Linked DNA regions of Lytechinus pictus. The protein of the gene in region 2 interacts with the protein of the main gene of each other region in a pairwise test. Links are inferred from orthologs where the notes say so. Each region holds a gene or a part of one and is shown on either strand. Other genes may lie near its edges. The genes, in order: uncharacterized protein LOC129271240, serine/threonine-protein phosphatase PP1-beta catalytic subunit and nuclear inhibitor of protein phosphatase 1-like.

Region 1 (7,941 bases), on a different chromosome or scaffold from region 2:
ACATGAGTTATGTATTTCTACACTTTGCTCTTCATACAATTTGAATTATGCCCAGGTCAGTTTTGGAACCATTAGCAAAATAATTGAATCTTAATACATTTACATATTTGTAGATATATCTTATGAATTTGTCTGAAGCCATATACATTTTATTGATTGATGATTTTTTTTAGAACCTGGTCTGAATTACAAGTACATAATGTTGCAGAAAAACTGCCGCCCCTGAGATAAAGTCAACCAAAAATGGTTATTCATCAATCATGTTACACAAATAAAAACAAAAACAAATTAAAAAAAGCTATTGTTTACCTTTCCACATGCTCTGCAATGATGTCTCCTTTTCCTGAAGGTGAATTTCAGGTTACACCCCATGCAGGAAGGTGCGTCTGAGTCAGGAATCCAGATAGGTGCAACATCACCCGGCACAGGTTCACCACCTCCTGGAGCTGGTACCATGTGTTGAGCATTCACTGCATTGTTCTGTGCTGTCATCGGATCCATTCCCTCAGACACAGCCAACTCTCCATTCTCAACAACACCGACATCACCGGGCATGTTCCCATTACCTGAAGGCATGGCTCCGTTTTGGCTTTGCTCAACCGGAAGACCCATGCCCGGTGTTAACGAGACGTTGGGCGGTGCCACGAAATGTGGATTATGAGACGGGTCACTCTCATTAATGCCCTGTGTGTGTTCATCGGGATATCCATTCATTTGTTCCGATCCACCCATGCCAAAGTCAAGAGTCAGTCCATGACGGGAAATATTGCGCTCTTTGTGTGTTGCTTGTTCCACCTGTTGGTAAGATGGAGGGTCCGGCGGTAAATTGTTTAATGAATCCTCAAGGTTAGCTTCAACAGCCAGCTCTGGAGACATTGAAGGTGGAACTGGTTGAGCTGTGGATAATTCCGGAGGAGCCCCAGCTGGAATTGAAAAATTTTGCACGGGGGCAAGATCTTGCAGTCTGCTGTTTTCACTGACCTGGTGACTAAGTTCTGTATGATTGTTCATAGGGCTTGACAGATGAGATGTGTTTGGTTGTCTTTGATGTTCTTTGTCAACAAGGGGCAGGTCCTGCTCCCCATTTTGATGGCTGGCTGCATGGCTTACAGTGTCAGGGTTAACTTGGTGTCTTTCATTATTCATCTTTGGCATAACAGAAATGTTGACATCGACAGATGGCTGGGTGATTCCAAAACCTAGAGTGCTCACAGCTGGATGGACACTTGATGAAGGGTCAGCTTTGCCAGGAGAAACCACACCAGGACAATCTCCTGACTGCAACTTGGTATGCATAGATGGGTTTAAAATGTTGGACAAAGCAGCAGGTACAACCTCTTCTTCCGTTGAAGATTCAAACTGAGGATTGCTTCCATAAAATGGGTCCACTTTGGCTAACTCATTGTCATTTCCTTTGGAATTGTTCATTTCCAACCTATACTGTTGATCAAGAATCTTTGATAAAGGACTAATTCTATCTTCGATATTGTCCTGATCATCGGGAATGCTCAAGTGATTACTATGGGGTGTAATACTCACATTGGGTGGTGCTGAAATGTCATTATTCAATGGTTTCATAGTGTTGCGAGGAACCCTCGCAGTTGTCGGAGATGCAATATCTGACCGTAGTGGTACCAATCCCGGTGCTGAAGGTGCCACACTGCTGTCCATGGTGTTCCTGTCCTTGTTCATCATTTCATCTTGCCCTGTCAACATGTAAGGTGATTGACTATCCCCTGCCATCACAGAAACATCCTGATTCGTTGGTCCAAAAGTGGGCATTTTCCCATCCCTTCTTAAAACCTCACTCCCAGACACATCATATGCCAATGGTTTTGAATCATGATCATCCAATTCATCAAGTTCTGACTGAGACACTGTCACATTGGACAGAGTACTGAATCCAATGACGGGCGGTGACTCGGTCACTCTTATCACATTTGATGGCGGCTCCTCTTTCCCCTGATCCTTGTCGCTTGTGTTTTTCAGAGGGCTCTGTTCTGGAGTCTTGTAACCTAATTGCTTTGGTCTTGCACCTTGTCTCATGTATTCCTGCATGGTTTCTGAATCCACTGGTGGAGTACTGGAGCTCGAGGTATAACTGGTTGGTGAACCTTTCTCCAAAGTATCGTCTTTGTTCAGTTCTATCGATCCCATTTCTGCCGTCTCTTGCTCCACAGGTTTCTGAATACCACTGCTCTCAACAGGTTTTTCAACTGGTTTATCAATCGATCTTTCAACAGACACTGATTCATCTTCAGTTCTAGTAAAGAGGATGTCATCCATTGAGTTTTGTTCTGTTCCACTCTTGGTGGAAGAATGCTCATGATTTTGTTCGGATATTTGACCAAAGGTATTTGGAGTAGACTCACCTACTGTGTCCCGCACACTTCCTGAAGTTTCTGAGTTGCTCTTTGATAGTGCCATTTGTGAAAAAGTGGATACAGGAATTTGTTCTTGATTGCTATCAAGTTTTGATGAATGTTCCTCACTTGAATGTCCTTTCATTTCAGATTGTTCTGTAGGTGGTGAGGAGTCAATATTATTCAAATCACTTATTGACATTGATCTTGTTGAATATGTTGTAAAGTCTTGCCGATCTAGCTGGGAATTACTGTCTGAATACATGACCTCACCAGTGATTCCAATGTTCTCGTCGGAGGCAGTTGCTTCAGATGGCTCTGCTTCCTTCTCAGCAGCCAAGCTCTCTTTCAGAGCAGAGAGAAGAGAAGATGGCTTGGCAGATGGTGCAAAGTCTGCCTCTGACAAATCTATCAGCAGATCACTTCCAGAGTTACTGGATGCTGCATCTGACTGCGACCGTTGATCTCCATCCACAGACCCATTGGTCAGCCCCCCTTGCTGGACATCCTCTAAAGAGAGACCATTGGAGTGTGGTGTTGTGTGAGTAAGATTGAAGTCAGGTTTGCCAGTGTTTGACATCATGTAAGGTTGAGAGCCTGACCCTTGAAGGTGAGATGGAATAGCCTTCCAGTTGGCTTGCTGGACGCTGGGTTCCACAAATTCTGCAGTAGGGAATAGCAAGAAAGAGAGAGAGGGGAATTAATAAATATCTTGATTTCGAAAATGCATGCAGTATGTGAGTACACTTACATGTACATTGGGTTTTTTGCATGTGAATGAATGCGGTCTGATGTCTGAGACAAATTTCAAACATGTACACTGTAATATACTATGGAGCAAGACAGACTTTGTCGTTTTGGATTTAAGACACATATCTGTCAATCATGAATATTTTTGCCAGAGGGTTTGGAGTGTAGACTTCATCCTAGAAATATTATAATTTGTGAACAAATATGAGTCTATGCTTGCAGACTACATCTACACTGGACTACAATTCTAGGGATTTTCTTCAACATTGCATGTAGGCCCCATTTGTCCTTGTCCTCGGTCTGCAATTTATAAACTGAGGATCCTCTAGTAGTTAGTAATCCTCTCCTTCAGACAAGTCTGAAAGCCTCTGACCAATTATGATCCAATCAAATGGCAAATTTTATGTCATAGTACATGTCATTCTACACCTCTTCTTGACAACCATGGCCAGCTACAGCTAGTATATAGGCACAGACCTTTGCTTTTCACAATTTGCATAGTGCATACATGTAACGCAGTCTGAAGTAGTGAGACTATATTCACTATAAGTACTGTTGCTGCTTGTACCAAAGAGACAGATAGTTTGGAGTCTAGTCTTTCACTCTAGACATGTACATGTACGTACTGTAATTTGTAAAGTGTCAAATATGAGTCTGTGCTCGCAGACTACATGTAGGACTAATAAAGCTTAAAGGACAAGTCCACCCCAACAAAAAGTTGATTTGAATAAACAGAGAAAAATCCAACAAGCATAACACTGAAAATTTCATCAAAATCGGATGTAAAATAAGAAAGTTATGACATTTTAAAGTTACGCTTAATTTCACAAAACAGTTATGCACATCCTGGTCAGTATGCATAATGAGGAGACTGATGACATCATCTACTCACTATTTCTTTTGTATCTTATTATATGAAATATTCTGATTTCTCCTCATTGTCAAGTGAAACAACGATTAATTCCTCCCTGAACATGTGGAATTAGCATTGTTTAATACTATCATGGTTCAGTCAAGTTGGTCCTTATTGTCAAATCTGTGAAAAATGAAATACAGTATAATTCAGACAATAAAAACAAAAGAAATAGTGAGTGAGGGACATCATCAACTCTCTCATTTGCATGCCAATAAGTTGTGCATATCACTGTTTCGTGAAAACTACTTAAGCGAAACTTTAAAATGCCATAACTTTCTTATTTTACATCCAAATTTGATGAAATTTTCAGCGTTATGCTACAGTAGTTTGTATTTTCTCTATTTATTCAAATCAAAATTTTCTTGGGTTGACTTGACCTTTTAAGCAAAGCTATCTTTCACAGTCTCCTGATCCACAAAAACTGATTTGTAGCATTATCATTTTATGAAGGAGAATCACAGATTTGGGAAAAATTTCATTTTCAAAGAAGTAAACATATTTTGTCTATATTATACATGTAGTTGATTTGTTATATGGATTGTTAAATTGATTTGCTTTCGATTATTGCAATGTACACAAACATTTAATTTCGGTAAGATTTATTTCTTTAAACTTACTGTATAACAGCGAAAATCAATAAGAATAAGAAAATATATAAAAAAATTAAAAAGTGCATTTCAAAGATCATCAATAAATCCATTCTAAAGCTGTGACAAAGGGTCAAGATAATTATGTATGTTATGATATCATTTAACAGTCATGTCATGTGTAGTGGCCACCATGTCTATTTCTAATTTCTATCTAACCCCTTCTCTTGGCAATGGCTTTCAACCAGATAAATGGTAGGTCTACATGTACCTCAAGGCTTAAATTAAAGGAGTTGAATTTTATCATCCAAGTCTAAGATAATTTTAAGATTGCCTACACAGTACTGTATGTAAAGGGTTTCAGCCAGTAGGAAAATTAGTTTTGAGGGGACTACCCTTGACAAAGTCCTGGTTATTAAAATAGATCTGCAAAATCAAACATGAAATTGCAGTGAATGGGGTTTTTTCAGGAGTCTTTTTTTTTATTCTTCAGGGCTATTTTTAGTATTCCTGAGGCGACATCAGCCCAAATACTGGGTAATCCCCTCCATTGTTTCAGCTGAAAAGTCCCCGCAATAAAAGCAGCACTTCACAATCAACCCAGAATCTCATTTTGTTCTCCCCTTGCAAATTGCCACCTTAAACAAATTTGAATGTAAACTGTAATCATCAAAATATTGCACATGAGCAATGAAAGCTGCATGTACACAGGCCCTAAACATGTCCTGTACATTATGTACTGCCAAGCAATATATCGCCCAGGACGAAAGCTTGTCTTTTGGGACAGTGATTGTGATCACAACACAGAATGAATTAAACTGCCATCTGGGTGTACTGAGCCTAATGTCCTATAATGACTCATGCAATGCTTTCACAGTTGGACAGGCAAAGTTGTTTATAAACTCCCACAGACGCTTTTATGACAACAGAATGACCAACGGGATTTCGGATATTTTAAGTGTCATACATCATATATATGTATGTATGTCACATGAATGTATTCCATGTATGTACTTTTCTTAAATCTGAAAAAATATGAAAACAATCATGGATCTTAAACTTAATTAATTTTCCTCACAAATACCGCCATACACTGTGGAAACAATAATTTTGCAAGATTGGGGGGGGGGGGCACTCATGAATAATATGGTACAGGGGTGTGTCACCCTTTCAGATTTCAATTTGAGTCCTCTAGATACTCAGTTCAGTAAACTCACATGTATGTAAAAGCCACTCACATCACTCTTAAGGCCAGGCCGCAAAATTTACGGAAGTATTTGAATGCAAGAGGGGGGGGGGGGGGGTGGCGTACAAACATTTGAAAGGGCGCAAGGTCATGGCCTTTGGTGGCCTTGAGTTGAATTATTTGAGCTCTGTTGTGTACAGACATAAGCTTTTAATAGGGACTTTAACAACCTTCCAAAATTTCTTAAATCACACTTTACGGCCCAGCAAAAATAATGAATTTTACATTTTCGGGGCTACTTATCACAACTTAAAGGGGAAGTTCACCCTGAAGAAAACTTTGTTGTAAAAATAGCAGAAAAAATAGTAAAAAATATTGGTGAAGATTTGAGGAAAATCCGTTAAAGAGTAAGAAAGTTATTAGAGTTCGAAGTTTTGGATTTGTGACGTCATAGACGAACAGCTGCCCCATGTGTTATGTAATATAAAATGCATGAATTTCAAATTTTGCATGGTTCCTGATGATTTATTTTTGTTTTCTATTCATGATCGGGTGTGAAATGATTTGTCTATTGATATACAAAAGGTATAGTGAAAACCATTTTCAATTTTCTGAGAAAATGACATTTCATTGATTTTTTACCATTCGCTATGTAGGAATGCTGCTCGCATATGACGTCACAAATCAAATAATTGAAATTCTAATAACTTTTTAATTATTTGATGAGTTTTTCTCAAACCTTCAGCAATATTTTTTATTATTTTTTCTGCTATTTTTACAATAAACTTTTTGTCAGGGTGAACTTCCCCTTTAATGTCTATTAAAATATTCAACATCGGATAAGCTTTAAAATTACAATGAATGATGATTATGAGCATTTTGAGGGTGAAATTGCCCTGAGCTTCCATGTTATTTTTCCCCTGTCACAGACACTTTTACAGCTTCATAAAGAGAGCTCTGCCAACACTGTGAATGTATTTGTAAAGACATTATTTCCAGGACTTTTAAAAAAGGTAAGCTAGAATGCTAGATAGAACATGTACATTAAACGGCACTGTACGCATGCATGCACTGTACATGTTTACAAACACCCATTGAGAATTAGATCTACTTGCAGTTCATGCAGTGTAACCTGTCTCTAATGAGCTTTCTATCTTTATCAGGTTTCTAAACCTTTAAGCTTTTAATACACAGGTCTATTGATGAATGTATCATTCACCATGCCTACATGTATATAGCCTCTTGTCGAGGCCCTGTCGGCTGCTTTCCAAGCAAACATGGCAAAGCACGGGAGAGAGCGAAGCAGAGCGCCGCGAGACGGGGCCTCTTGACATCTGTGCCAAATTTCACCGACTTTCTTTTGTTTTTTATTGTTTTTACCAATTCACCGACCAAAAACTGGTCGGTGAAAATCATCCAATGAGAGCGCGAGCTGCTATGACGTCATATTAAATATTCATGAGCTCCTCTTGAATGGCGACCCTTGGATTCTTGGCAAAGAGTGACGACGAAATATCAAAGATCACTGAATATGCCTCTAAAACGCTGAATATTGACCGATTTAAGGATTTGCAAGTCGATGAAATTAACTCTGCACTGAAAGGACGAGATGTCTTTGTAAATCTACCCACAGGATATGGAAAAAATGTAATATTTCATGCGATTCTACCGGTCGATCCGGGGCGTCGATTATCGATCTCCGCTGTGCAGTGCAGTGAGGGAAGCTGGGGTGGAGTTGCTGGGAGTTGACTCGAGTCTGACCAGCGGCTGAGCAGTATCTCCCGGGAAGTTTAGGGGCGGTGATGGGTCTGTTACGGCCAGTAGTAATAGTAGTAGTAGTAGTAGTAGTACCACTACTTGTAGCATTTTGCTGGTTATATACCCTTTAGTGTCCCGCAATTAAATGAATCCCCTGCAGAATAGTGGACTACTATATAGTATTCCGAAACCAAGACGAAACAGCTCTGACATTTCATTGGTTTACTCGGTGACCGGTAAAATCATGACTCATGTTTATTCATTAGGAAGACGTTCCTCATGAATATATAATTTAGTTCAGATGTCAAGAGGCCCTGGCTCGCGCCAGGCCTAATTCGCTTCGCGAATTAGGAAAGCCCTCGCTTCGCTCGTGAAGCAGCC
Region 2 (8,284 bases):
CACTCACTCACTATTTCTTTTGTTTTTATTGTTTGAATTATACAATATTTCATTTTTTACAGATTTGACTATAAGGACCAACTTGACTGAACCATACAGTATTAAACAATGCTAATTCCACATGTTCAGGAGGAATTCATCGTTGTTTCACTTGACAATGAGGAGAAAATTAGAATATTTCATATTTCATATAATAAAAATTAAAATACAAAAGAATTAGTGAGTGGATGACGTCATCAGTCTCCTCATTTGCATACTGACCAGGATGTGCATAAAACTGTTTGTGAAATTAAGCGAAAATTAAAAATGTCATAACTTTCTTATTTTACATCCGATTTTGATGAAATTTTCAGTGTTATGCTTGTTGGATTTTTCTCTTTTTATTCAAATCAACTTTGTGTTAGGATGGACTTGTCCTTTAAAGTCGCTCTTAACTTACAAACAGCTTTATGAAATGCCTCCACCTGAAAGCATAGAATTTTAAGCACTTTGGGGTTTCAATTTTACTAAAATTATGTGGGCAGGAGCTGACGTTTCTTTACCAGTGGTGGATCCAGCTTTCACTATGGGGGGGAGGCCAAAAAATATTTTCATCTACATATTCTAAGCACTTTTTGTACCTGTGAACATGATGGGTATACGTATAGAAACAATTAATGCAAGCGCGAAATGCGAGTTGAGAAATGTTGATATTTTGACCTCAAGCAATGAACAACACTCGGTCATCATCACATATCCATCTTCACATCCCCCGAACATTAAAATTAGTAGGTGATAGGTCATTTTCTGTGTTTGCCCCCAAATATTGGAATAGATTACCCCATAAACTTAGACAATGTTCTTCTATTGATGTGTTTAAGAAGATGCTTAAATCTCATTTTGTGTAGTTTTGTTTTAAGTTTTCACCGATTGTATTTGTTTTGTCATTTGTACAGCGCTTTGTAACTTTTGAAAAAGCGCTTAATAAGAAGTATGGTGAGACTACCACATATCGACCACCTCTTTTGAAACTGACCACCTTGCGCGTGTTAAAATTATTGCGTATTACAAACGATACGCGCGGGAGAGTAGGCGCAGTGTCCGTAGAAACGGTAAGAATCGATTTTACGAGAAAAAAAGAAACAAAAAGTAAAAATTTAGTAGAATTAATCAAAATTGTATTGACCAGACCCAAACCCCGCTGAAAAACCAAGAAATCCGATAGGAAACAGCTTTAGAACGAATATCCGTCGTCAATCGTCGAATCATGTGCCGGAGCTCGCAGTGGAAGTATTGAGACGATAATTTAACATGTTGACATCATAGAACTGATTTTGAAAAGTAAAAATATTTCACCACTGCGACAAGAATCGGCCGTAAACTTAGCGTAACACGGGTGGTCGGTTTCAAAAGACGGGTGCAAATGAGCAAATGTAAAATTGTCGTATTCGTTGTTCGTCGATACGCGGATTGAATCAGAGTCGCCGAGCGAAACATAGGAATCTGATCTGCTCAATTTTCTGCACAAATGAGACGAAATCTGGGTAAAAATTGATGAATATTTTCGCAGATACGAAGCTTAGAAGATTAGGTGGTCGATAAGGGGTAGTTTCAACCATACATGTAATTATTATATTATTATTAAAGTTTGAAAGTAAAGCACTTTTGGTAATCAAGAAGAAGATGGGCATCTATCTCAACATTTTTGCAAGCGCAATGCGCAAGCTGAAAATTTTTGAATTTCCGCCCAAAACTGCACATTATATGCACTATTGGTAATCATGAACAGGGTGGGTATCTAACAAATCACTTTATGCGAGCGCAGAGTGTGAGGTGAAAATTTTTGATATTCCGATTTCCGAAGTCAAAACCAAAACTGGATGTTCTAAAGTACATGTTGTAACCATGAATAGGATGGGTATCTATCTAAACAATTGATGCGAGCGCCCCCTATATCAAACATTAATTTGGTGCCCCTAGGTCAGACATCAATTCAGCGCCTGTATGTCGAACTTCAATTCAGCGCCCCACTTGGTTAAACATCAATTCGGCGCCCTCCTTGGTTGAACATCAATTTGGTGCCCCCCCCCCATGTCAAATGTAACAATTCGGTGCCCCTAGGTACAGTAGAACATAAATTTGGCACCCCTATGTTGAACTTCAATTCAGTACCCCTAGGTCGAATATCAATTTGGCACCCCTAGGTCGAACATCAATTCGGCAACCCATAGCCTAGGTAGAACATAAATTTGGCGCCCCTACATCAACTTCCAATCGGCACCCCTAGGTAGAACATCAATTCTCTGCCCCCCCCCCCAGGTTGAGGATCAATCCGGCACCAGTGTCGAATTTCAATTCCCCGCCCCACTAAGTCCTATTAATTTGGCGCCACTAAAGTAAAATATTAATTCAGCGCCCCCTACATTCCTACAATGTAGGTCGAACATCAACTTGGCGCCCCCCTAGGCCGAACATCAATTCGGCACCCACCCCCTTCCCTTTTTCCCCTCTCTATTTCTTTCCCTTTTTCCCCTTTCTCTTCTTTCCCTTCTTTTAACTCTCCATTTTCTTTTCCTCTCTTTTGGCGCCCTCTTTTTCGCCTACTCGCCTCCCCCCCCCCCCCCCCAGAATACACGCATGCACACTTTGTAACGTTACAAATAACTCTGTAAATTCAGCTTTGATTTCATTTTCAGTTGACTCAAATTTAATTCCACCTCCATCATGTCCATTCATCTGACAATCATCACCAGTTATGGCAGATTTAATTTTGCAAGTGCAAATGTGTTCAACTAAAAAAGCACTTTCTTGAACAACGATTTGCTCTCATAAATATTAATGAACAGAACCGACGTTGCTTTGGAGCTGATTGAAGTCATTTGCATTTGATCACGAATGCACTAGGCCTATACCGGTACCGTACCGAGCTCATTCACGCAACACACAGCATCTGCGGATTACACGCAGCGTTTACTGAAACGCTTCCTGGTTCGAAAAAAAATCATGATTTTTGACCCATTAAAGCAACAATGTACAAAATAATCACCCACAACACATTACAAATATGTCAACAGTAATACCTTCCAGTAGACGAGTGAGAATGCTGTCAATATCCAATTCCAAATCCGCCATGATTAGAAAGTGCCGGTGAGAAACTATTGATCGGCGATTTTTAACCCAGGCAGGCCAACCGTTCTAGTAGGCCGTGTACCGGTACGTTATAATGATCGGACGTGATGAGCGAGGAATTCTGTTTCGGCTCGGAGATTCGAGCTGTTCTGTGAGAAAAGCCGAGAGTCTAAAATTAAGGAAAAATATAGATTCCAACAGAAAAAGATTTTATGTACCTAAACAATAGTTTCATATAATCTAATTCCAATTATTTTCAGAATAATTCTCTACAAAATCAAACTTGCCCTGCAATACACTTTCAGGACCATGACGTCATAGGGACGGGAATTTCCTTATTTGGAAAATGAGCCCCATCCTTCATAGTACAGGGTCACAAATTTCAGGACATACGTTTTATCAATTTATTGAGTGAAAAATAGAGACAATTTCAATGAAATGACATTCTTTAATAAGAATATGTCTCATAAGCCTAGTCGAGATAAAAACCAGGGCATGCATCCCTTTAGTACTTCCTTGTATTGTTCCGGTCCGCTTATGGGCCCGCTTAACCTACTCAAGAGGGGGTTTTCCCTAAATTTTGATTGCTACACTTCGGCCAAGTTATGCGAGTAGGTCCATGATGGGAATAATGTCATGGCTAGCGACTTTGTGCAATTTTTAAGTGATCTTCGGTTTTCAATTATTTTGCTCGTCTTCTGAAGATTACATGTAATTTTGTTTACATTAATTTTCATCCGATCCCTGAATGAAGGTCTAATTTACCACAAAAATGTATAACCCCGGCTGCCGTCCCGTAACAAACGGAATCGATTCTTTTTTTTCCAAGTTCCTTTTTTTTTATAGAGATATTTGCTGTAGGCCTATAGATGCAGGGGCGTCGATCCATTTTTCAGATTGGGGGGGGGGGGGGGCAAAGTCATGAATCAACGTTCCAAAGGCACTCGATCAAAACAAACAAACTCACCCCCCACACACACACCCACATAGGCCTATATATATATATATATATATGACTCATGAGAAAGAGACACATATCTCACCAACAAATTATTGCGAGCGCAAAGCGCGAGCTGAAATTTTTTAGTATACTGACCTGAAAGCAGGAAAAAGATACCTGTTTGTAGTAACTCATGTGGAGGATACATATTTCACTACACAGATAATGCGAGTGCCGAGAGCGAGCTGAAATGTCTTTATATTCTGACCTGAAAGCTTGATTTTCTAAGCATTTTTGGTACTAATGATTAAGATGGGTATCTAAAAGAACAACAGATGCAAGCGTGAAGCGCGAGCTGAAAATTTTGATATTTCGATCTGAAAAAATTTGTGTTTAATGGAGTTTTTTTAATAAAGAACAAGACATATATTCAACAAAAGATTATTGCTATTGCAAATCGGAGCGGGAGTTCTTTTGAGGTTTAGAACTGAAAACGAGACATTCTATTCACCTATTTAATCATGAAAAGCAGTATGGGTTTTTGCTACAGAAATGATGCGAGCGCGAAGTGCGAGCTGAAAATTTTTATATTCCAATCTAAAAAGCGGACATTTTGAGCACGATTTTAAATAAAGAACGAGTTGTGTATCGCTTGCTGATTTCTGTGTAACATTACAATCTTACTTTATTATTGCACATGCGGAATTATTGGGGGGGGGGGGCAAAACGATATGTTTGTCCCCCCCATATTTTCATTGGTGGGGCGATCGCCCCCCCCCCCTGCCGCCCCCCCCCCCCCCCCCCAAGGATTGACGCCTCTGTATAGATGCATAATGTGGTGATAAAGGAATTTGATCACACACAGCCCTCAATTTCTGAAATTAGACGTTTCAAATCGGGAGTAAAAGGCAATCAAATTTCACAAACAAATGGGCTACTGAATTACCATTATAGTTATGAATGACTTCACTTGAGCATCAAATTATGCCGATGAATTGAACATATAGCCCTATATTTTATAGATATTATTATTATTATCTTATAAATATTATTAATTTCTAGTCGAGATCAGAGATGGGCTTTTAAGAATAATCGATTTCTTTTGCAGGGGCGGCCGGCCGCGGTTCGTGCACCGTTCTGAAAGTGTGTGTGGGGGGTATTTCAAACGTTTTTTGTTACTTGCCTTTGGAAAAATGTGAAGTCGCCAAGCCCCCCCCCCCCCGTCCTCATTTAGCAGTCACTAGTTTCCCTGTAAACAAGGTTGTATTGGTAGTTCATAGTAATGCCCTTTTTACTGTCGGTACCCCCCCCCCCCCTCCACTCGTCCTAATTCAAATGATTGCCGCCTTAACACGTCACCATGTGGGGGGCGGGGAGGCGGATTATGCCCACCGTGTAGCTAGGAACTGCCCTATTATAGAGCTGCCATGACACTGATTTATGCTGGGAATCTCAATTTTAAACCTCTTTCTCATAGGCGGATCCATGGGGGACGAAAGAACCCCCCCCCCCTATATTGGCGGTGCAAAAAAGGGAGAGAAATAGAAGGGAAAGAGATAAGATGAAAAGAAGAGAAAAAAATAAGAGGAGGAAGACAAGTGAATAAGATGATGACGATTGGAAGACTTAGAAAATTAGAAGAAAAAAAATTATGATCGCTTATACCTGTTCGATGACTCGGACATATCTTGCTCAATAGGCTGATACGGAGCTTCAAATATTAGTATCTGGTTCAGAGAAGTCACTGTGGGCCTACATTTAAACATATTTCAGCTCGGACATCGAGCTCTCATTATTTTCTTTGATTTACCCATTTATTTTAGAAAAAAAAGTGCACTTAAAATATTTTGTGTTATGGTTAGAATGTCATTTTTTTAGCTTGCGCTGCAAGCTCGAAATTTTGATTTGTGAAATAGGCCTACCTATTCTCTTGTGTACTTCATTTTAGAATATTTGTTTTCAGGTCTGATTGTCCAAAATTATCAGCCAGCGCTGCGCGCTCGTATTTTTGTTAGTGAGTTATGTACTTCTATATGAATTCTATCCCGGCCTTTTAATGAGAGTTTATCAAAACTTTCGGCTTGCGCTTTGCGCTTGCATTAAATTATAAACCCATCATATTCATCATTACAAAAGTGCTTACATGTTGTAATTAATATCGGCAAACTTTGCGCTCTCATTACGCCTATTATAATATTAAATGAGATAATTATATCCTTTTCATGAATTCCTAATCCTCAAATTGTCCCTTTTAGATCCGAATATCAACAATTTTGAGCTCGCACTTACTAGGAGGAATATGATACAAAAATGCGCTTTGAATATATATCCCGTTCCTATATATCAAAATAATTATATTGAAAAAAATCAGCTCGTATTTGGCGTTCGCATCATTTATTAAGTGCAATCCATATCCATATCCTCTTCACAATTTTTTCTACATAGTGCTTAAATTTTCCCCTTGTCAGATAGGATAATCAAGAATTTAAGTTGAGCTATGTGCTCGCATTATTGATTTAGGAAGTACTCTTCCTTTTCACAATGATAAAATATGTTTTGTGAAAAAAAGTGAAAAGAAACAGAGCTCGCGCTTCGCGCACGCATGGCTAGCTCTTTGTTTAAAACGTGCTTACTTATTTTCCATTTTCAGATTAGAATACTTAAAAAGCTCTGCACGCGCTTCGCGCTCGTTTTATTCATGGGATTCATGTAGGAAGATACCCATCTTTTACATGATTACAAAATATAAAAAGAGTGTCCAGTTTTTAGGTCTAAATCTCTCCTTTATTTTTCCTTTCATAAAATTGTTCTTGATCAATCATGTTGCAAAGAATGTTCAATTTTCAGGACAAACAACATGAAATTACAAAAAAAAATCAGCTCTGGCTTCGCGCTCGCATTATTTAATTAGGGCTTATGAGATGAAATTATCAATTTTATAAGAATAAAGCCAAGAAGACTAACCCTTGAAATTAACCAACAAAACTCACCTTTGTGAGCGGCCGATCAGGGAAAATGTGGATGAATATATTTTTCGCCTCTCACTATTGGCGAAAGCAGAATCAGAATCCGCCCGTGCTCTTTGATATAATCAATTTTATTTTAAGATCGCCATCTTACTAGTAGGGTAACATTTACACGGGAATATTCATTAGGGAAATGATCGTAAAAAGACAAAATAGATATCACAAAATACAAAGGAACATCATGAAGTAAGTTGGCTTGGGAAAATTAACATTTAGAATGGCCGGAACACAAGCGCACTTGTGTTAATACAGTGTTTTTGTTTGTTTTTTGTTTAATTCTTAGCTTAAAAGGGGCACTTGCCGTTAAGAAGCCTTCACGTATTTTGTAACCGTTGCAATCCTTAGCAAAATGTATCCAAGTGGTCGCAAGCGGAAAAATTAGAGAGGCCGTTAAAAGGAAATAAAATAGTATACTGAGATTAAGAATACTTGTTAAACACTTATGCTGAAAATGTGCAGTTATTATGGAAAGTGAGGTCCATGCACTGATTAAACTGAAATTGAGCACTTGATTACCAGCTCTAAATAAATATAGTCCGAGTAAACGATTCAATTGGAGACTTTATGTTTGTTAAAATGGGGGGGGGGGGGGTCCAATTAAAATGAAGGGGGTACTATTTTTTTCAAGAAGCAAAAAAAAAAAAAACATGGACATTTCGTTATCACTGATTTGCCCAGTATAGGCCTATTTATTTCACGATTTCACAATCACCAATTGAAAATATATTTTATTTCCAATTATTTTGATATCTTCACCCTTTCAGAGTGTCTGATAGTAGACTTTTCAGAAATCTGAGGGGATATCGAGCTGCATAGTCAGAGGTCCAGAAGTAAGCCCTTTATATATTTATAAGAACAAAAATAGAAGAAAAAAAAATTACTGTTAGCCTTTCCATCGATAAAATTTCAATAAACAATTCAAATTGAATCATGAAAGTGACAATTGTGAGAAGGCGAGAAATAGTGAAATGGACCTCAGTAAAAAAAATAATTAAAAAAGGAACCATTTAAATGTAGGGGGTGTGATTGGTGAAAAATAACGCCTTGACTATAATATTTGCTCTCGGAATACTATTAAATTCATGATACTGGATTTTAGGTGGGGTGTGATTTTGAGCTATCGAGTCCATTTTGGGAGTGAGAACTTTTGGGCAAAATGGACGGTATGGACCAGGGCCGGGGGCTATACTCTCTTGTCGGGTCTAAATGT
Region 3 (7,500 bases), on a different chromosome or scaffold from region 2:
CTACGTAAAGAATGGAAAAATTTAATCAATTTTTGTAATCGTGAACAAGATAGCTATATAACTAAGCAGTAAATAAAGAGGCTTTAATAGCAGGAAATCATAATTTATAAATAAATTTTCGGCATTACTCCTATGTGTTTAAGATCGCATGCTCGATCTTTAATGAAAATCATAACAGAAGAGGATTGAGGGTATTTGAATTCTAGTTCATCGTGATAGCCGTGAACAAGAATAGCCTGGTGGTTAAGTCGCTGCCCGGAAAGCAGTAGATGCAGGTTCGAATCCCACTGGTTCCAATTTTTTCTGACTTATGATGTTCATTGAAGATCGAGCATGCGATCTTAAACACATAGGAGTGATGCCGAAAATTTGTTTACATATATAACTAAACAATTAATTATTTGATGCGAGCGCGAAGCGCGAGCGTAAAAAAAATCGAGATTTAGACCTTAAAACGGGACTCTCAATTCACGTTTTGTAAATCATGAAAAGAATGAGTAATATGGGATTTTTTTTTTCTTTTGAAAATAATTTTATTGGTAACATAATCACATGAAATAGTTACATAAAATGTAAACAATGTCATACAAAGCATGAAATATTTTCTTCAACAATACTGTTTTCAAAAATACACAAATTTTTCCTTTTACAACGCTTCTCTATTTCTATACGATTACAAATCAACCTTTTGAATAAACACAGTATACCAAACTCATGAAATCGACAACTCCGACTTACTGTTCGAATAAAAATTGAATAAATAGCATACCTTGCATACATAATAAGAAGATTCAAAATTCTATACTCTTTATTTTTTAACTCATATCCTTTTATCAAAGTAGCAACATTAAAATCAAAATTAATGCCTACAACTTTATACACAATGGTACTAAATTTTGTCTTTTTTCTTACACGTTACAAATAAATGTACGCTGTCTTGTATTTCATTGTCATGTGAACATAAAGGATTATCCCTTAACTTCCATTTATACATATTATATTTATGAGGTAAAAGATTATGTAATAACTTATAATTAAACTCTGCTATTCTATTTTCTTTGACAGTTTGTAAATTAAATAACCATACAGATTTCCAATCAATTTCTTCTTGTAAAATATTTTCCCATCTTTCTTCAGCTTTAGGCTTAATACTTATGTTATTTGAAATAATGGTGTAAAATAACTTTGAACCTCTTTTCCTAATTACATTCGTCAAAATATTCTGTAGAATGTTTTCATTTTTAGGTTGAAGAATCTCAAAAAATAACTCAAACCGGTTCATTTTCCAAACTTTCGGTATGGCATTCATTACAATGTTATACTCCTGAAAAAGACTTGCATACTTTTTTTTCAAATAAAACTTCTATTTCCTTTAATGATTTGAGTTTGGAATCTGAAATAATGTCCTTTACCTTTAGAATTCCAATATCGAACCATCTTTTAAAAAACAATACATTTCCATTGCGATCTTTTATATTCGAATTAAACCACAAACTTTCCTTCTCGATCTGGACATTTTGAAAACCTGATTTATTTTGAACGGTTTGCTTAAAATTCAACCAGGCGTAAATTATTGCCTTATGATAATATGGCATTTTTATTTTATCTATATTTTATCTACATATACTTTAATTTCTTTTTCTGTACAGTTACTATGTAATACAAAATCTAATCCTCCAAATTGAGAAAGATAACTATCAATGGTTGTACTAAATTTCGATTCTTTGTTATTATAATGATACAAAATCCATTTCAATAAAAAGCTTTGGAGTAACATATTCAAATCAACCATTTTGAGTCCATCTAGATCATATTGCATACAAACAACCTTTCTCTTTACTTTATCTATCTTTCCATTCCAAAGAAAAGAAAACAATAGGGAGGTTAAAAGCTTTACAACTTTCTCTGGCATTATAATCATTTGAGCGTTATACAACATTTGAGAGATGAGAAATGTTTTAATTACAAGTATTTTTCCTGTTAAAGTTAGGTGACATGCATTCCATGATTTAATCAAACGTTCTACTTTCAATATTTATATGAGATCTTCGTACATTAATAATGCGAGCACAAAGCACGAGCAGAAAATTTTTGATATTGTGGTCTGAAACTGGATAATGATTTAAATTAAGAAAACAAGTTGAGTATCTGTATAAACATATGCGCGCGTGTTTCGACCTAGCTAGAATCTAGGCATTCTAAATAATCTTTTATCATGAAAATCAAAGTGAGCGTAAAGCGAGCGCGAGCTTAAACTATTTGATATTCCGATTTGAAAAAAAGAGTTTTGACATAGGACCGGGACATCCTTAGGACATGTGAATGACTGTCTTCCTATTCCTCTTGCTAAGCGCAAGATGAAACATAAGGGCAATTTAATTCTTAAATTAATATCTATGCCTATTCAATATTGAGGGCGCGAAATCTGATGATATTATGGCCTGAAAACTTGACATTTCAAGCACTTTTTTAATTATAAATAGGACGCATCAGTTAATGTATTTAAACCATTAAAGCGAGCGCAAATTGCGAGCTTAATTTTTTTATACACTGTCATGAAAAGGGGATTTAAAGTATAGTTTGTTGTATAATTAATATTGAGACATTATATAACTCACCAATCAAAATGCGAGTGTGCAGCGATAGCTGATACGTTTTTACAATCAGACCTGATAAGGGATATTTTGAAAATTTTATGGAATACACGAAAATAAAAGATACCTGATAAATCAAAATTTGCGAGCGCTCAGCGCGAGCACAAAATTTTAATATTCAGACCATAAAACTGACATTTTTACAGAGCACTTTTTAAAAATGAATTTGTAAATCCAACAAAATAATGAAAGTTCGATTTCCGAGATGAAATATGTTATGTATATTGACTTCAATACTTATTTCAAGCTACATATCAGCATATTGAGCAAGCTATGTATCTCACCCGGGGGGGCCACTTCCATTCACGAGTGGATACCATGCGCGACCATGGGGTCTCGAAAAGCACCCTAAACACGTAATTTCCATATTCTGAAAATGCACCCCTTAACAAGTATTGGCGTGTGAAACCCTACCCCTTAACAAGTATTGGAAACAAAACGATACTCTTTGCAAATATTCCCTGAAATGAACCCCTAAACAAGTACAGGAATGTTTTATTGTTACGGGTCCTTCGGTCGTCGGCTTTACCTTATTTGGTTAAGTACGACCCCACCTTCTACACCTCACGCAAATTGGACTCTAAACACGAAGTGTTGGGGCAAAAAGGACATCCTTTATAAAACATTTTAATTTTGTTTTATCATCCCCGCAAATTCGACCCTAAACACGTAATTGTCCTAGCGAAATAGATACCCTTTTTTCATTATTTTTGTGTTTTTGACACCCTTATCACGTTACGTACGTAACGTGCCCTATCGTGAAAAAGACATCCTTTTTACGTGTTTTTTTGGTCGCGCATGGTATCCACTCGTCAATGTAAGTGCCCCCCCCCCCCGGGGTATCTCATCGAACAGGCTATTCCCCTGACCTTATTTTATTCACTCGTCTCCCTCCTATTTTCTTCTTCTTTTTTCCTCCGTTCTTTCCCCTTCTTTTTTTCTCTTTCTTTCCCTTTTTTTTCATTTTCAAGGGGGGGAGGGCATCGGGCCCGGCCCGGCTTGATCCGCCAATGTATCACGGTCACCTTGACTTATCATATTTGAAACCTACATACCACGCATACCACATCATGCACACACGATAAGATAAATGATTATAGCTCTAGAACTACTCAAATATGCTCCTCAGAATAGATTATATGAGGTTGATTGTTATCATCCAGCGCACATTTTAAAAATAAATGTGGATTTCTAAACGGGACATCCAATCTTTGTTCTGATCAATATTTGTAACACATGTCGGACAAAAAATCATGAAAATTGTCATTTTGGTCAAAACATGGCAAGAATGACCACTTCTATTGTGATTTGGCAAATTGGCAAATGAAACCACTTTATTTGGAATCTGGGTGCATTTTTACTTAGGATGGACCTTAATTGGATGTGGTTACAAAAGCATTTTGTTATAAGGGACCATTTTCCAAAGAGTGGTCAAAATTGTCATTTTTGTTCAAAAATTGGCCAAAATTGCTCAAATGTCGTGAGTACGGTCAATAAGACTGACTATTTTGGAATCAGCACACAATTTTACCCCGGATAAGCCTGTCAAACCTTCCCCACCAAAAATTCTGAATAAAGCCCCCTTTAATTCTCCCGATCCTACATGTGGTGTGTGCCGCGCCCTGAACCTAAATGTGTGTGTGTGTGTGTGTGTGTATTTGAGTTTTGTCAGACGTGTATCAATCAGATATGATTATTTACGTCTGGGACCGACCTTTAACGTCACCATCCGAAAGACGTGACCTGGGGAGCGTTTCATGAAAGGACTTGTCGGACGTTTTATCCGACAAGTCCTGTTTTATCCGACAGTTACCATAGTAACAGTGCCTCACAGCCAATCAAAATCAAGGAAAGATGTCAGATCTGACAACTTGCCGGACAAAAATCTTGATGAAACGCTCCCCAGGGCTCGAACCTCTGCATCAATTTGTAACTTCCCCACAGCTTGGATTACAGGCGCACGCCACAACGCCCTAAACTTCCTAAACGTATCTTGACCGTAGATGGCAGCAATCCTTAGCTCGTCAACATGGCGAATTTCGAGGTACCGTCATGGTAAGATTTGTTTATTTATTTACTCAGTTTTTGGTAAAAAACAGATCTATTTATCATTTTCTCAGTGATATGGTCCGTGTGAAAATTGATCCGTAGATTTTTTTTTAAGATCTAAATGAAAAACAGTATGGGAGCAGCTGATTTTCAACCCTGTTTCTCGCTCGCTCAGGCTGCCTTCGCTTCGGGCGGGGCGCAGCCCGGCCCCGGCTCGGGAGCTCGCAGCGGACAAGGGGAGACTCCAACATTGGCATGGTGGCGTGGGCCGGGGATTGGGCGTGGGGCCTTATCCTGAAATAAGTCATCTCTCTTCTCGTGTGTGTCAGTGTGTTTGAGCTCGTTGTGTTATGAGTACAAAGTCAATGGGAGATAGATGAAGAAGTCACTGACGAAATGAACGATCGCGATGTCGCTGTCCAGTGAATGTAGTGGTGACTTAAACCAGGCAGGATATTTAGATAATAAGGAGCTTTCGATTGTCTGCGACTGCAACGTAGTCCTAGTTCACCGGAAGTGGTGACACCGCTCGTTCAGTATCACGTTCGTACATTGATGAAAACAGTTTCGATTTAAGTCGACGTACCCGTACCAGGCCACAGCATATACCAGCGTGATAGCGAGCGGGCCGTGGGCCGATGCTCGGCTGGAGAATCAGGCGTAGCATCACGCTACGAACCAGTGCCAGTGGGCGTGTGGGTGCAACATTTGCACTCTTGCGCAAAAAGCCGAAAAAAACACAGTTGTTTGGGAATAGAACAACAATTACCTATCGGATTAACCCAGAGAGCTCCCGCCCGCTGCGCGGGCGGGAGCCCAGAAGCTTACCGTGTATTTGACCATATTCACTGGACTAGGGTGATTTATGGTCTAAATATTTCTCCAAATGAATTGTGAAAACAGAAAGTATACAATTACCACAATTATATGGATGAAGGTCTAACGAGTGGCAGTTTCCTGACATCTGGGCACAGACTGGGACCTCAAAAAAACGAAAAGTTCTCTCCTCTACCCCAGTCTCGATCGGCCATTTTGTTACGATTTTTAACAAAAATGGCCGATCGGAACGGGGGTAGAAGGAGAGAACTTTTCGTTTTTTTGAGGTTCCAATCTGTGCCCAGATGTCAGGAAACTGCCACTCGTTAGACCTTCATCCATATATCGTGGTAATTGTATACTTTCTGTTTTCACAATTCATTTGGAGAAATATTTAGACCATAAATCACCCTAGTCCGGTAAATATGGTCAAATACACGGTAAGCTTCTGGGCTCCCGCCCGCTGCGCGGGCGGGAGCTCTCTGGGTTACTATCGGATATGTAGTGTCTGAAAACAGGACACACTAATGGAAAAGCTGGTAACAAGCAGTAATTTGCAGTTTACCAGCCCTGCTGAATCAACGAAACTCGAATGTTGATGCGGCTTCATTCATTTTTGCTAAGCTTGGATGACGTCATCATGTACGAACTAGCGCTCGTTCGAGCACTATGAGTATGATACCGAACGTCAAAACCCTCAAATACGAGTCACAGATTTGAGCAGTGAACGAGAAGGCTCGTCACAGATTACTTCGCGCATGCGCAGCGCTCCTAAAATTCCTTAATCTCGTACGTCCACATGGCTCCTCACAGAAAACGAAAGGTCTCCAATGCCGGGCTTGGCGGCGCAGGAGGCTCCGTCCTAAGCCTGCCCTTGGCTTAGGCTAACGTTCGACAGTGAAAATCATTTACTAATGTATCAATATTGTATGCTTACTCTCCACGGAGCCACGGACGGATGCCATTGCTCTTTGCACACCAAGTATTTTTCTTTGGCAACAAGTTGCTGCAAAATACCGGTACTTGTTTTCATAAGACTTTACTGTCTTTAAAGTTTAGTTTGTGAGCCCAAACTATATGACATAGACTAGACATTGTTCATGAAAGCAAGATTTATTTTACGTTGATCGTGTTAATTTTCTGGTTTGATTAAAGCACAGTACTGCGCATGCATGATTGATAAGCGATGACTTTCATTCATGAATTCATCGTGCATAAATCATCTCGGCACGAGCAGACGAGTAAGACTCGAACAATGATCGAAATCATTGAAATAAACTTCAAATTAATGGTGAATATGCATCATAATTGCACAATCGGTTTCATTTTCGGGGGAATATAAATCAAGTAAGTAGTAGTCAAGTTGGACATTACTGATATTTTGATGATTGATTGTGTGAACCAAACAAATCTTTTTTTTTTCGATGCACAGATTTGGCAAAATCTGCACCGGCGCTCGATGACATGGATCGAACACCGATTTTAAAATCGATTCGACTCAGGCTTAAAAATAAACTTGAAAGGACAAAAACAGTGACTTTCTTCAGCTGTCGCACAACTCCCACTTCCCTGGTTTATCGGAACTTAATACATAAACATATAGCCATTGAGTCCCTGTACAGATCGAGTTAGAACTTCGGTCTCTGTAATTGGTGAGTGGAGCCGACGGAGTTCAGCGGAACAATTAATTTAACAGAGAAAGAAGCTTTTGGTCTAGACATACACTAGAGCTAGATCTAAATCAATTCAAACTGTCTAGAATCTATATGTTTATTGTTCTTTTTTACTCGACTTTTCCAATGAAATTAGGCTCGGTAATTAACCTAGCTGTATATTCCATCAACTTCTCTTTTCCCTTAATTTTAGACAGTACTTAGGCTATCCACTATTCAATTAACTTTGTTCTTACTCCTCTTTTCCAACGAAATTACACATGGTAATTAATCTATATTCCAACAACCCCTCTTTTCCCTTCATTTCA

What was found.
Region 1: the proteins of serine/threonine-protein phosphatase PP1-beta catalytic subunit (region 2) and uncharacterized protein LOC129271240 interact in a two-hybrid assay, tested with the Drosophila melanogaster proteins (2 studies listed by BioGRID). The link is inferred for Lytechinus pictus from reciprocal best matches to the Drosophila melanogaster genes flw and Sara.
Region 3: the proteins of serine/threonine-protein phosphatase PP1-beta catalytic subunit (region 2) and nuclear inhibitor of protein phosphatase 1-like interact in a two-hybrid assay, tested with the Drosophila melanogaster proteins (2 studies listed by BioGRID). The link is inferred for Lytechinus pictus from reciprocal best matches to the Drosophila melanogaster genes flw and NiPp1.

What each region holds. Positions count from the first base shown.
Region 1 is NC_087255.1:33,955,377-33,963,317, forward strand, and holds the start of uncharacterized protein LOC129271240, read right to left. Parts: upstream 3,026-7,941; 5' UTR 2,947-3,025; coding exon 310-2,946; intron 1-309.
Region 2 is NC_087251.1:11,502,195-11,510,478, reverse strand, and holds the start of serine/threonine-protein phosphatase PP1-beta catalytic subunit, read right to left. Parts: upstream 3,428-8,284; 5' UTR 3,396-3,427; intron 3,258-3,395; 5' UTR 3,112-3,257; coding exon 3,060-3,111; intron 1-3,059. UniProt on the Drosophila melanogaster protein: Required for cell adhesion in non-muscle tissues and in maintenance of muscle attachment. Vital for larval development.
Region 3 is NC_087261.1:1,178,297-1,185,796, reverse strand, and holds the start of nuclear inhibitor of protein phosphatase 1-like, read left to right. Parts: upstream 1-4,378; 5' UTR 4,379-4,683; coding exon 4,684-4,709; intron 4,710-7,500.